Linked DNA regions of Arabidopsis thaliana. The protein of the gene in region 2 interacts with the protein of the main gene of each other region in a pairwise test. Each region holds a gene or a part of one and is shown on either strand. Other genes may lie near its edges.

Region 1 (3,428 bases), on a different chromosome or scaffold from region 2:
ACATATATATGGATCACTACTGTTAAAACGATATAGTAGAGCTTAAGCGTTAGGATTTGTATTATTAGTTGTCTCTCTCTTTTACAGACGCGTGGAAGGTACGCGCCGTCATAGGAACATTGTCGGTAATCCCCTTCAAACACCAGTAGTCAGTAGATCGATGACTTGAATTACATCACTGTCCCCTACTTTGACCAATAGAGATCTAAAGGTTTCCTTTCTTGCATTATTGTGCTAAAACCGACATTTACTTAAGTTACTTGATTATGTCTTGGAAAAAAAAAAAGATTTTAACTTTGGGAACTTTTATTCAACTGAAATTTTAAAGAATTATTTAATTTGGAATTCCTTCTATAAATTTACTGGCTTTTACCGTTATACGTTACCATAAACTTATATATATGATCAAATTCGACCGTGATGAATGATCACTTTTTTAACTTTCCATTCAGATCAACTGAACCCCCTTACTTTTTCTATATATACTCTTTTAAGCACTTGTTTATATATTATCAACAAATTAAGGTGTCGAAAGTAACATACAATTAGACAAAGCATGTATAGTCAAAAAGATAGATAGTCATCAATTTTGAAAAACGAGCAATTTACATGATCCTACAAAACAACAAAACTAACTATATGAAATATCAAGTTTATAATCATTTTTAAAAATACCATTACAAAAGATTTGTACTTTGAATATAATTTAACATGAAATTTAGAAAACGATCTGTTTAAGAATATAACTTCTGCTATGTGGTATTTTAACTGGTACTTTATAGAGAAAAAAAGATTGGTAATTAATGTGATATTTTTGCAATCCATATTATATATTCGAGAGATTTTACTAATGATAGTACTTGATTAATCATTAGAGAAAACTAAATCTTACAAATATAGGTAGACATGATGAATAATATGCATGATTTGCGTTTCGTAAATTGATAGTACCACCTCACCTAAAGGGGGTCCAAACGAGTTGCTTCATATCACAATATCCAATTTTACCAACATACATTAATATATGTGTATTCACATATATACCTCGTGATTAATATTTTTTTTAAAATCATTTTTCGTTTGTTTCCTATACGTCTAATCAAACACACACGTTACAACTAAAATTATATTGACAATATAGCTCGGTTGGTAAAAGCAACGACTACTGCAGTTTCCCTGAAAAACTTAAGACCAGTACTAAATATCAACTATACAAATTAAGTTGATATCAGTTTTTTTGGGGGTAAAGTAATCCAATATCATTCTAAAATTAAAAGCAAAATGTCGTTAGTTATACATGTTAGAGACGAGCGTTGTGTTTGAGAAAAAAAAGAGTTATGTCGTATAGTGGATTCGACGTAAATATTATCGATGGTTGGTTTCAAACCTGAAAAATTACATGTCATATTGTCATCAAACATCGATTTTCATTTGATATAAGAAAAATATATTTACAAACACAATCGTGTGTGTGTGTATGCATCATGATTATATGCATGTTAGTGTTAGAGTTACATATTCTATAGAATATGTAAATAGTTAGAAGCGTACGTTCCTTGAAAATTGTTCAAAGTATTTCTATTATTGTTTTCTTTTGTTAAAGTATTTCTATTATTGTCTCAACCACCTAATTAAATTAAATAACGTCTCTATCTCTTTCTATGGAGTCGTGTTACGTCTTTCTAGTTTGAGATCTTCTACTACTTGTTTTCTTCAAGAATAATAATTTTCGTTTTATATATGGAAGATGCTGGTGAACATTTACGGTGTAACGATAACGTTAACGACGAGGAGCGTTTGCCATTGGAGTTTATGATCGGAAACTCAACATCCACGGCGGAGCTACAGCCGCCTCCACCGTTCTTGGTAAAGACATACAAAGTGGTGGAGGATCCGACGACGGACGGGGTTATATCTTGGAACGAATACGGAACTGGTTTCGTCGTGTGGCAGCCGGCAGAATTCGCTAGAGATCTGTTACCAACACTTTTCAAGCATTGCAACTTCTCTAGCTTCGTTCGCCAGCTCAATACTTACGTACGTATATATGCTTCACTGTTTCAATCAGTATTTTAAACTATTTGTGTTTCTTTGAGTTTACTAAGTGTATTTGCTTAATTAAAGGCATTAATGAGTGTTGTTACAAAAATATTATAGGGTTTTCGAAAAGTAACGACGATAAGATGGGAATTTAGTAATGAGATGTTTCGAAAGGGGCAAAGAGAGCTTATGAGCAATATCCGAAGAAGGAAGAGCCAACATTGGTCACACAACAAGTCTAATCACCAGGTTGTACCAACAACAACGATGGTGAATCAAGAAGGTCATCAACGGATTGGGATTGATCATCACCATGAGGATCAACAGTCTTCCGCCACTTCATCCTCTTTCGTATACACTGCATTACTCGACGAAAACAAATGCTTGAAGAATGAAAACGAGTTATTAAGCTGCGAACTTGGGAAAACCAAGAAGAAATGCAAGCAGCTTATGGAGTTGGTGGAGAGATACAGAGGAGAAGACGAAGATGCAACTGATGAAAGTGATGATGAAGAAGATGAAGGGCTTAAGTTGTTCGGAGTAAAACTTGAATGAAACTAGATTGCTAGATTGATATTCGTAATATACCAGTTTCTTCATATTCTTAGAAGTTTTGCATAACTATATATAGTACTCTTTTAAGACATGCAAGATCAGAACATATGTCCGAGAAATATCGGATTCTTTGCTGTATTGGTTAAGTCTCGTGTTCATAACATGGTACATCGTGTGTATATATATAGCCATTAACTAAGAGAACGTTTTCTCATGTATTTGCGAAATTTAAAACTATTTTGGGTAGATGAGATGAGTTACATCTCACTTTGGGCTGTGGTCAGGATGATTTTGGTTATGTAAGCCGCGTTAATAATGGTATCACTAGCTGCAAAATGGTTGAATTTTGGTAAATCTCAACTCTCAACTTTCAACTCTCAAAGCAGGCCTAGAACTAGAAGTAAAAGATTGGCATTCTCTTATTTCGAATTTAGGCCAGAACATACGGCACATTAGGGTTTTTTCCAGATTTTTAGTTGATGGAAGATAAAATATGAGGCATCATGTATATAGACATTAAGACCACAGGTTTCTCATGTATATGTCATATTTACAACTATGTTGAGTACGCAGATGAGATTATAATAAGTGATCAGATCTCTCTTTGGGCTATGGTCACAAAGGGTTTTTGTTGTACAAGCCGCAATAATGGTTTCACTGGCTATGAGTTAGCTGCAAAATGATTGAATATGGTCTCAAGTGTGGATTGACTTATACTGTATTCAGCTATTCCCAGCCGATTCCTGCCATAGAATGAAGCAAATTTCTTTCCTCAGACTTACAAAGACTGATGTTGTGTGGATCATGGAGAAGAAACAGTTAAAAGAAGAATG
Region 2 (4,616 bases):
TGAAGATTCTTCTTTTCTATCTTTTGATGTAAACGTACTTTATGATATCTCAACTCATCCATCTGGTGTGTTTTGATTACATCACATGAAAAGGTGTTGCTGCTTTTCTATTAAAAGGTAAAGTTAAATATTCTTATAATACACATGCATTTAGACCCCAAGTGTTTTTGACTAAACTTTGCAAAAATCCAATATTATTATCAAAAGATGATGATGATAGAGAAGATAGACTAGTTTTGATCAACTTCCTTCATTTAGACCAACATGGGTGGCTCTCTTTACCTATCTCATGTCCCCATTCTTTTACTCATCAAAGACAACATCACATTCAAGTTTGGTGGATCTCCTCCTACCACTAAAGTAGGTGAGAGAGAACAATTATTGACATCAGACATAGAAAACAATAATCATATTTTTACTCTTAGTGAGCTAAGTTTCACTTGTAATTTAAGGGAACTGGCTAAATCCCCCTGATGTTCCAGAAGAAGAAACAATTCAAAACTTACTGTTCATGGAAAATGACCAACTTATATCTCTTGGGACCAAAAGATTACGTGAGAAATAGGAATCTCATGTTGTTTAAATAACAAGGATCTAGCCTGAACAGAGCAGTAAAAGTAAAACCCAAAGAGAAAGTTTCAGACTTTATTAGAACATCCACGGAGTTACACAATAAGAACAGGGAGCAGTAACAATAGGATGATGATGATACAAAGTTACAAACATAACACAACAAGACGAAACCTTGGAATCTAACCATAATTGAGCTACAGAAGAACGTTGGTCTAACTGGTGAAAATATGAAAAATTACAATCGGCAAGGTTAAGATATTGGAAGAAGAAGAAGAAGAACCTGAAACTGTTGTTCTTTCTTCATTTCCTTGCGTTTTCTAGATTCAGGCCATTGACTACACAAACCGAGAACACCTTCCCTGTTCCGGACAATCTAAGTCAAGCTTCAATGTGCATGGAAGCTAGACAAGCCCTGCAAAATGGTTTAAAGTTCAATGACCAAAGAAGTACAAAAGTAGTGAATTTGATGTAAAAGGACAGAACTTGAGATAAACCTGAAACTTAGAGGATTAGTTTCGATTGTCAATGGCGAGAAATAGAGGAAGCAGAGGACGGCTTGTGAGTGAGACCGTCGTGCTGCTCCTCTTCTTGGCCCTGAAACCGTGCTGGTATGCGAAAACCCGAAGAGAATTCACCTGAGGCGAATCCGATTCCGGGGATTGCTGATTGGTGAACCGGTGGAGGAAGGTGATGGTGGTGGTTGAGATCGTCGGTGGAGATGGATTGGTGATGATGGTGAGGATCAAACCAAGCACGGATCATGGGACTGTAACTGGACTGAAGGGGACCCCTCTGAGAATAAAGCTGTTGGCTTTGGCCAAGAACTGGCTGAAACGACGTCGTTGAAGGAGTAGGAGGAGCGAACAGAAACCCTCCTCCGTTTCCTGTATCGGTTGCTCCGCCGCCACCGCCGCTGTTCCAAGCCACTAGTCTCTGAATCCTTCCGAATTCCGACGACTGCTGCTCCCAACTCGATGTGTCAAACCCTAACGGATTGCTCTGTCCGTAGAACAGAGTAGGCTCGGAGGCGGAAGCAGAGGTGTGGTGGTGATGTTGGTGGTGCAGAAGCGACGGTGGACCATCCGGGAACGATTGCAGCGAGAGACGGAGATCTTGGTTTTGGCTATTAGTTCGAGAAAGCAAATCCGGCGGATGCTGATGATGATAGTTGTGCATAAGGTTATGATTCGAAGGAGCCTCCGTTGAAGAGCCAATCACCGGAAAAAACGACTTTATAGTGTCAGCTATCGAATCTGAATCCATTGACGGCGGGAGAAAACTCGACTCGTTGTTACTCGGATGCTCTGCTCCTCCTCCGTTGAAGCCAACACCGAACTGAAGCTGTTGTTGTTGTTGTTGCTGTTGCGGCGGTGGCGGAGACGGAGAGATTTGGGTTTTGGCGGTGGTTCTTCTGGGTTTAGCGTTAGCAGCGGCTAGGCGAATTGCATCGGCGGGATTCCAGGGAGGAAGCTCAGCGAGCTCGTCAATGGAAGTCTTAGCCTTTTTGATAAGCCAATCAACGGCTTTGCTAGGTCGGTCGAAACCAAGCCTGTCTTGAACATCGTAAAACTGAATCGCCGTGTGAGCAGAGAGTCTCACGCGCCGGTCACGTGGCCCTTTAGCCGTGCAGACTTTGCTGTGGCGGTCTTTTCTTCCGGTAGACCGAACAATGTGACCACCTTGCACCTCAACAATCTCGCCGCAGCCGCCGTCCGCCGCATCCGACGTAGAACGGTGCCTCATTGAAGAAGGAGGCGGCGGGTGATGGAATTGGTCGTCAGACATTGGTAGAGCATATTCGTCGAGACGGCGGCGGCGGCGGCGACGGTGGTCGTCGTTAGAGGGTGAGGAATCCAGAGTAACTCAAAAAGGATGAAACTCCCGCATACTTGCTCTCCTCACCTCAAAACCCTAACCCTAAAAACAATCCTAAGAAGAAGAGGTTTAGTGAAAATTGTGGACTAACCCATATTTGAGAGAATCTCTCTCTTTTTTTCTATAGCTTAAAGTCTCTCTCTATTGTTTGGTCTGTGTAGTAAATAGAAAACGCAAGAAGGAGACCAAAGAGATGAAGCAAGCAAAGCAAGCGAAGGTGAGAGAGAGAAGAGAGAAAGGGAGATGTGTAATTGACCAATCAAGAAAAACCCAGAGAAAGCTTTTCTTTTTATTTTTCTCTCTCGGGAAAATGGTTAAAGAGAAAAAGTAAAATAAGCAGAAGGAAGAGGGAAGAGGAAGAGAGTGTTGTGGGTTTGATGATGACGCAACTGGGTAAGATGACAGTAAGTGTTTTTTTCCTCTCATCTCCACATTCAATACTTTTATTTTTTCTTTCTTTCTTTTTTGGGTAACCAAAGCTTCCTCGTTTCCCAAATTTATTCATTTTTTTCCATTCTTTGTTTAAAAAAAAAATCTGATTGTTATAAGGTTTTAACAGTAAGTATTCATTTTGTTCATGTTAATTTTTAAAATCAATGTTTAACTTAATGTGTAGATGCAAATACAACCAAATAATAATCAACACAATCATAAACTAAATTGTAGGATGCCAAAATATTAGAAAAAAAATAATAATAATAATAATGATGGTTTTTAGAGTTAGATGTTTCCAAAACCAAATTTGTTTACCAAAATAATAGTATAGGATTTGTTATGTGCATGCAAATCATTATGTTATTTTCTAAGAGAATACATTAAACAGACTACTTTAATTTAGTGTGATATAAAAATACTAAGATGTGTTAAAACATCTACTTTTGGTCAGAGTTACTAACTTCCTTGATATGAAAATGGGCACTCTTTTCGTGGACATGTCCACATACATACATAATCATGGGGATTATATACTTAAAAAGTTGAAATCACTGGAATGAACTAGCTACTTTATTTTTCGAGTTTCCGAATTCAATAAATGAATAAATACCCTAAAAACCTATGGTGTTAGATGGGTCAAGGTTCAATTCAACCTTTTGTGCTTCTCGGTTTCTTTTAAGGGTTGACCCATGCTAGTTCAATGCAAATACATAAAGCTTGTTGATGCTCCACTTCTTTTTACCTTTTTGTTGTAAGAATCTCAATAGTTAACTAAAGTAGATTTTATTCGAAAAATCGAACTCGTTAAAAGAAGAATATAATATTAGTTAGCAATACAATTAGGGCTCTTTATAATCTAAGATTTTCTTTTTTCATCTCTCATCTTCGTTTTTGATGTTTTTGTTTTTTGCAATCCTGTTTTAGATTCTATAAACTAGTAACAAACACAATAAGACTCTCGTTATTCTTTGTTCTAAAATCCAATACTTCTTTTCTAGCTATTTTGACTTGTGGAACTAATTGATTTCACCGTATCGTGTTCGTGTGCATATCACCCAAATTCATATATGAAAGGTATTTTGAAATTGAAGAATACGACGTATAAATAAACTAATAAAGGTGAGTAAAAGACAATCTAAGCTTCAACGGAGACATTTCTAAGATCTTGAGAATTTTACGAGTTCAAAAATAATTGGTGGGACTCTATAATAATAGTATAATGCTTCTTGAATCCCAACCAATTTGACTATAACTCTCACAACTAATTCATGTATGGAATATATTGTGGTTATAATACTTGTACCACAAAATATCTCCAGATTGGTGAAAAACGAATAAATACAACAAACCTATTATATTGTTCACACAATTTTGTAGCATATTAAATTTGAACACACGTACGGTAAGCTAACGTAATTTTCAAGTAGTTGAATATGTTTTTTCTTCAAAGCAATAATAAAAACTTGACGCAAAGGATCATAACTATATAATTTTTTAGTTGGAAAAATATATATAGTATACAGCATTATTTGATAGTTTAAAACTATTCATATAAATAATTACTATTAGACCACCTACTTTAATGTAATAATAAATCAGAAAGTGACATATTAGCATGATAGAAAAGGGTCAATTAACAAACCTAATACGAACACAATAAAATAATTAATCAAACAAAACAAAATATAATATTTAAACATGAAATAGGTTGTTTAGTAGAGAAAAGGAGAATA
Region 3 (6,501 bases), on a different chromosome or scaffold from region 2:
AAAAATGACTCGTTCAGGTTAGAATTTAAAATTAAGTGTATGCGTCATATGACACAATGCTCTCGTCATCTTGTGTCTAACAGAGTGAAATAAAGAACGAACAATTGTTTGTATACACACAAATACAATCGCACCTACATGTGCACATATTTTATTACGCTTATCTATAGAAAACTGTTTGATACATTTTTTCATTCTAAAGTAAATACACAATCCAAAAAATACTATGTCATGTTAAGAATGTTTAGTATATCTATTTATTTTAGGACAAGGAACATTTAACATATAGTAAACAGTTTTAACAAAATTTCTCTGATTTGAAATATATTTTTTATATTATCAGTAAAAAGAAAACTGTAAAGGTAATTATAGTCGTTGATTAAGATTATACTTAGTTTTTTAAAATAACATGTTTTAAAAATTTTGCAAAATAAGTTTTTTTTTTTACATGTCTCATAATTTTTGTCCTCAGTTTATGTTAAAAATATTTTGTTATTTTGATACTAACATCTTCCATACGCTGAAAACATCTTTGAGAATATTTTTCAAAACACAATATACAAAAATCCACAGTGACTTTATTCCACGATGAAATGATATCAAGACATATATGTTCTTACCTTTACCTTTCAACGAAAATGAGAGAAAAAATATATATATATAGTATCACTTTTAGAAAATGTTTTTTTTTGCTAATTAATTATTATATAAAAATGTTGAGAGCAACTTGATCATATATGTAATAAAGTCGCAGTGAAAAAAAAAATGTAATAAAGTCGCATACCGACGTTGTGACTCGTTTTTATGTAATTGATTAGTTAAGTACAGAGTTCGTTAGATGTATTTGCATTGTTACAATTACAGAAAACCCTACGCAACACAATTCAGTACTTTTTACGTCAGCAAAAATAGAATCTTTCGTTGAAAATAATACCAGAATCGTTCTTGTCTTTAATTTTCTTACCTTTTTGTAATTGGATATGATTTTTGACTATGGAATTATTATTATTTTATTCTATAAAATTATAGTTTTTATTATTGGAATCATTTATAAATGCTATTACTCAGTGTTCTTTAAAGTCCATACTAACGAATTCAAGTACTTATTTAACAAAACAAAACAAACAAATACTAATAAACTAAAAGTACAAACATTACTATGTTATTAAAAAAAGCATATAGCTGCGTGATTTTAAAGGTATATGTGACATATAATACAACGACGCCGTCGTATTTTATTGAATTTTTTTGTCACTTTTAATTAGTATACAGTGAGGAAATAAGCAAAAAGAAAGAAAAAAATATTGTTGGCTCGGCTAGTACCTATAAATAAAAACACTAGTATTTGGCCCAGGATATAATCATTGCAAGTTTAGAACTAGTTAGCTAATCTAAACCGTTAGATCAAAGAAGCAATCTTACTAATCAGAAAAACAAAATTCAACAAGTTACAAGAATGAAAAAAATAGGGATAAAAAAAAGGATAATTCATTTACATTCGATCAAAAGGCGAATGCATAGATCATAGATGCAAGACACTTGTGAGTTGTGATATAACCAAAAATTTATTTAATTATATGTAATATATATTCGAAAAATTTATACACCGTATATAAAATATTCGAATAATCCTTTTCTTTGATTTAAAAATATTTTCTGCTTGTTTTCTCAACTCATGTATTAATTTAAATAATAAAAGTAGCTACCACCTTTCTCTGCCCCACTTTAAGATAAAGCTAAAGCATGGAAAAAAGCATGGGAAAAAAGTAAATATATGATATACAATCAAATAAATCTAAAAAAATAGAAAAGAAAAATTAAAGGAACGAAAAAAAGAGGGAGGAAAAAGACAAAATTAAAAAACAAAAATAAAAATTCCAAAAAAATTAACATCACATGTTATCAAATGAGATCAAAATTTAAGTTAGTTTTGAGTTTTCTCTCTCTTTCTCTTCTCTAAAACTACTTAAGCTAAAGAATCAAACACTTCTCAACGTTTCTCCAAAGCCTCTGATTAGTAAACACATAAAGAGATCTATAGAGAGAGAGAGAGTAGAGATAAAAGGTGATGAATAGAGGTGTGTTGGAGAGTTCGCCGGTTCAGCAGCTGATGGCAGCCGGAAACCCTAATTGGTGGAACGTAAGCGGCGGCATGAGGCCACCACCACCGTTGATGGGTCATCAGCAGGCGCCGTTGCCACCACATATGACTCCTAATAACAATTATCTCCGACCACGGATGATGCCCACTCCCTTCCCGCACTTCTTGCCATCTCCGGCGACTTCTTCTTCTTCCTCTTCTTCTTCACCGTCTTTGCCTAATAACCCTAATCTCTCTTCTTGGCTTGAAAGCAATGATCTCCCTCCTGAGTCTTGGAGCCTTAGCCAACTTCTTTTGTAACTATCCCTCTATCTCTCTCCCTCTATAAATATTCCAAAATGAAATATTCTCTATACGCACATGACATGATCTTGTGTTTACTTACTAGTTCACTCTTTGTTTTCTCGTGTGTTGCTACTTAGTCCTAATTACCTTTTTGTTATACGTATATACGTATATACATGTATGTGTTTGTATTTTAAGTATCAAACAAACAATCTAATATTTTGGATATTTTCTTTGTGAACTTAGGGGTGGATTGATGATGGGAGAGGAAGAGAGATTGGAGATGATGAACCATCATAATCATCATGATGAACAACAACACCATGGTTTTCAAGGGAAGATAAGATTGGAGAATTGGGAAGAACAAGTGTTAAGCCACCAACAAGCTTCCATGGTGGCTGTTGACATCAAACAAGAGGGTAACATTAACAACAACAATGGCTATGTCATATCTTCCCCGAACTCACCTCCTAACAAATCTTGTGTTACAACAACTACCACAACAAGCCTCAATAGTAACGACGATAACATCAACAACAATAATAATATGTTGGATTTCTCTAGCAATCACAATGGTCTTCACTTGTCAGAAGGGAGACACACTCCTCCGGATCGATCCTCTGAGGTAACACTTTTTCCACATCTCAGAGATTTTGATAATATACGGAAAAAGCTCGGAAATAATATCTAGTTTTACACATAAATTAGTAAACACATCAACTACTATGAAAAAGTGAAATCTAAAACGTCATTTAAAAAGATCAGGACAACATATTTTATTTTAAGGTTTGGATCTAAATTCAACACGCAACCAGGATGAGTTTTGCTCTGAATTTTTTTTGATTAAATGACTAATTGATCTTTGTTTTGTTTGTTATCTATATATGTGATGCAGTGTAACAGCTTAGAGATTGGTGGGTCTACTAATAAGAAGCCAAGGCTCCAACCTTCTCCTTCGTCACAATCAACCCTCAAGGTAACTAATTGATTATATCAACGAAACTTTGGATAACTTATATAACGTTTTCTGTATATAAATTCCCTCCCTGACATCATACTAACAAAACAAAAACACAAACACAAAGGAGAACAGAAGAAGCAAACAAAACAGAATGGGCACAGAATAAGCTGTGTGGTTTTGTGTTTTGTAACTCTTTTGTTCTCTCCTGTTTTGTCTTCTTCTTCATTCTTCAATATTCCTTTCCTCTCTTTATTTCATAAAAATCAAACTTAAATTAATAAATTTCAACATTCTCCTTAGAATTAGACGACACTATATGTAATAAATTTTATTTTATAGAATATGGACATTTTGAGAGATTTCAAAGTTCTGTCAAAAAAAAAAAGAGATTTAAAAGTTTTGTTTTTTTCTGTAACTTGTTTTGAAACGTAGAAATGGAAGAGTCGCATTAGACATTGGATTCAATAATATCATGATAATTATATATACTAGTGAAAGTAAAATAATTGTTTATCACTTGTACATGCTAAGTAAGCACGTTTTCTCTATGCATGGTAATTAGTAAAAATAATATGACCACACATGCACATATATATAGAAAGCTTTTTAATTGATGCTATTAATTAATCTATGGTGGTAATTAAAGGTGAGAAAGGAGAAACTAGGAGGCCGAATCGCAGCGCTTCATCAGCTAGTATCTCCATTTGGAAAGGTAAAGATCGATTCCATTAACAAATCAAATTTATTAATGTCGTCTAATATTCCTCTATCAAATCAACTTTTAACATTAATTGTGGAGATTTTTTTAGTTTCATTCTTGTTAATCTAAAATCTAAATCATTCTTCATCCCTTTTTACCCATCTTTTGCAGACTGACACAGCCTCTGTCCTGTCGGAAGCTATTGGATACATTAGATTCCTTCAGAGTCAAATTGAGGTGTGACTCGTCTTTTCCAAACTCCAAATATTCTCATTCAGTAAAATAAAAATAATGCTTATGATTACTCCGTTTACCAAAAAAAAAAAGAAGAAAAAAAGGTTGTGATTACTGAGAAATAAATTACAGAATAAAGCATAATGATATTATATAAGAAAGAATAAAGATAGTAGTATAAAGTTTTGTTCTCTCCATGTTAAGTAATATTTGATTGATGTGATTATATATAAAGTATTTATGACTTTTTGCAACTGTTGCACTGTTGCAGGCTCTGAGTCATCCATACTTTGGTACGACTGCCTCGGGGAATATGAGGCACCAACAACATGTAAGTAGCAAATTTTCGTATATATACTGATATACACAAACAAATCATCATGCTATCGTTTTATACCCTTAACTTCTTCTTTTTCGATAACCTACACGAAACTTTTTATACTTATATATTATCTCTTAAGTCTTAACTATGGTTTATATGAATAGTTGCAAGGAGATAGGAGTTGCATATTTCCTGAGGACCCTGGTCAGGTACGTCCATTTTTTCTTGGTCACTATACTTTTAATATATAATTAGAGTCACTATACTTTTTATTGGATCAATTGAATCCAAATCTAAAAAATGTGGACAGCTTTAGTTTCCAAAATTTATCCTTTTTTTTCTTTTGTTTTTTTTCTTTTCTACTGTTTTCTTTAAAGTAAAGTTGGATTAATATTAAAAGATGCAGCGGCCAGCTTTTTTTTCACCCTCCCTTACATTATTATAAACCAAAAAAGTTCGTTAAAACCAACAAAGCCACTAAATTTATTTAAATATCAACTTTTTCTCCTTACTTGTTTTCTTCATCTAAGTGAAATTCAAATTCCTTTGGCGGGGTTTTATATATGCTTTTCACTAGGGGAAATTCAATGATTTTTTTTCTTATCACCTCTTTATATAGGTGTTAGAGAACATGTGTTTACTTTTTTTGTTAATCAATGCTATATATCATGATTGTTTTTTTTTTTTTTTGATATGGTTTTAGCTCGTGAACGATCAGTGCATGAAGAGAAGAGGAGCTTCGTCGTCATCTACGGACAATCAAAATGCAAGTGAAGAGCCTAAGAAAGATCTGAGAAGTCGAGGTTTATGTCTTGTCCCAATCTCATGCACACTCCAAGTAGGCAGCGACAACGGCGCGGACTATTGGGCTCCAGCACTTGGCTCCGCCGGTTTCCATTGAGCCAATGAAATTACGCCACGTGGAATTCCAGCGTTAGAGAAAAATGATATAACATCACGAGCAGTCAGTCTACTGAGAAAACAACAAATTGAGTTTCCAAGGCTGATTGCTCATGATGCTATACAAAGTTCTTCGTTTAAAACTTTGCTAGAGAATTTGCGTCTGGCGTCTGATGAATATGCGTTTGGCGTTTCATCATTTGATGCGTTATCAGATGATATGACCAAGTGATCAATTTATGTTCTTGCTTTAGGAAACTGTTTGTTTTCTTTTACCGGTTAATTGTAATTTGTGGTTAAGTACTTATTTTAATTACTTCCACGTGGTTTGTATCGTTATAATTTTGCTATTACTTATAATATGTCTATTGTGTGGGATATATACGACATGCAGACCATTAAAATAAAAAAGTGTGCCGGAAAATATCGATATAAGTTACTTCGTTTGCCTTTTTCATGCGTAGTTCTTAATTCACGTAAATGATCATCCACAATGAAAAAAGAAAAAGAACGAAAAAGTTCAGAAATTATGAATCTTATTAATTATTATTGATAATTATTTTACTTCACTCCACCATATGTGTGAACTAGTGGAGCCTTGGAGGATCACTAACAAAGAAGAAAATAAGAAACAAGATATATCATCACTTTTTGAGAACTTGCTCTTCATTTAAACGGTTCATTTCTTCTCTTTGAAGTTACGATCATCAAAGAACTTCTTAGGGTTGCTCTCAAAAGCCTCCCTCTAAACGCTTTGTCGTCCACCAGATCCAGGAGCAACCATTGTTTTACCGATGTCGGAAGTGCTACCAGAACCACCGCTTCCGCCACTCGTACCAAAATTCTTGGCTCCATCAGCTTTGGTGTTCTTGGCGTCCATGGCTTGATTTTGGGATTGGAAACGATTATAAATTGAAGGTTTGGTTATTTTGTGAATCATGAATTCGACTGTTGAGACTTAGAAAATGGATCGTATATAGACACCAAGTTGATCTGAT

Evidence for each region. The genes of interacting proteins can lie anywhere in the genome.
Region 1: the proteins of TCP4 (region 2) and HSFB3 interact in binary tests that used the Arabidopsis thaliana proteins (3 or more experiments, as listed by UniProt).
Region 3: the proteins of TCP4 (region 2) and AT4G29100 interact in binary tests that used the Arabidopsis thaliana proteins (3 or more experiments, as listed by UniProt).

What each region holds. Positions count from the first base shown.
Region 1 is NC_003071.7:17,379,983-17,383,410, forward strand, and holds HSFB3 (heat shock transcription factor B3), read left to right. Parts: upstream 1-1,664; 5' UTR 1,665-1,740; coding exon 1,741-2,037; intron 2,038-2,157; coding exon 2,158-2,595; 3' UTR 2,596-2,869; downstream 2,870-3,428. Other genes in the region: ABCA1 (ATP-binding cassette A1), read right to left, coding at 3,257-3,338. UniProt on the Arabidopsis thaliana protein: Transcriptional regulator that specifically binds DNA sequence 5'-AGAAnnTTCT-3' known as heat shock promoter elements (HSE).
Region 2 is NC_003074.8:5,060,050-5,064,665, reverse strand, and holds TCP4 (TCP family transcription factor 4), read right to left. Parts: upstream 2,986-4,616; 5' UTR 2,359-2,985; coding exon 1,096-2,358; 3' UTR 1,068-1,095; intron 986-1,067; 3' UTR 514-985; downstream 1-513. UniProt on the Arabidopsis thaliana protein: Transcription factor playing a pivotal role in the control of morphogenesis of shoot organs by negatively regulating the expression of boundary-specific genes such as CUC genes, probably through the induction of miRNA (e.g. miR164).
Region 3 is NC_003075.7:14,339,072-14,345,572, forward strand, and holds AT4G29100 (basic helix-loop-helix (bHLH) DNA-binding superfamily protein), read left to right. Parts: upstream 1-1,893; 5' UTR 1,894-2,068; coding exon 2,069-2,397; intron 2,398-2,632; coding exon 2,633-3,011; intron 3,012-3,281; coding exon 3,282-3,362; intron 3,363-3,993; coding exon 3,994-4,059; intron 4,060-4,218; coding exon 4,219-4,284; intron 4,285-4,552; coding exon 4,553-4,612; intron 4,613-4,767; coding exon 4,768-4,812; coding exon of another isoform or gene 4,813-4,854; exon of another isoform or gene 4,855-5,306; coding exon 5,307-5,504; 3' UTR 5,505-5,942; downstream 5,943-6,501.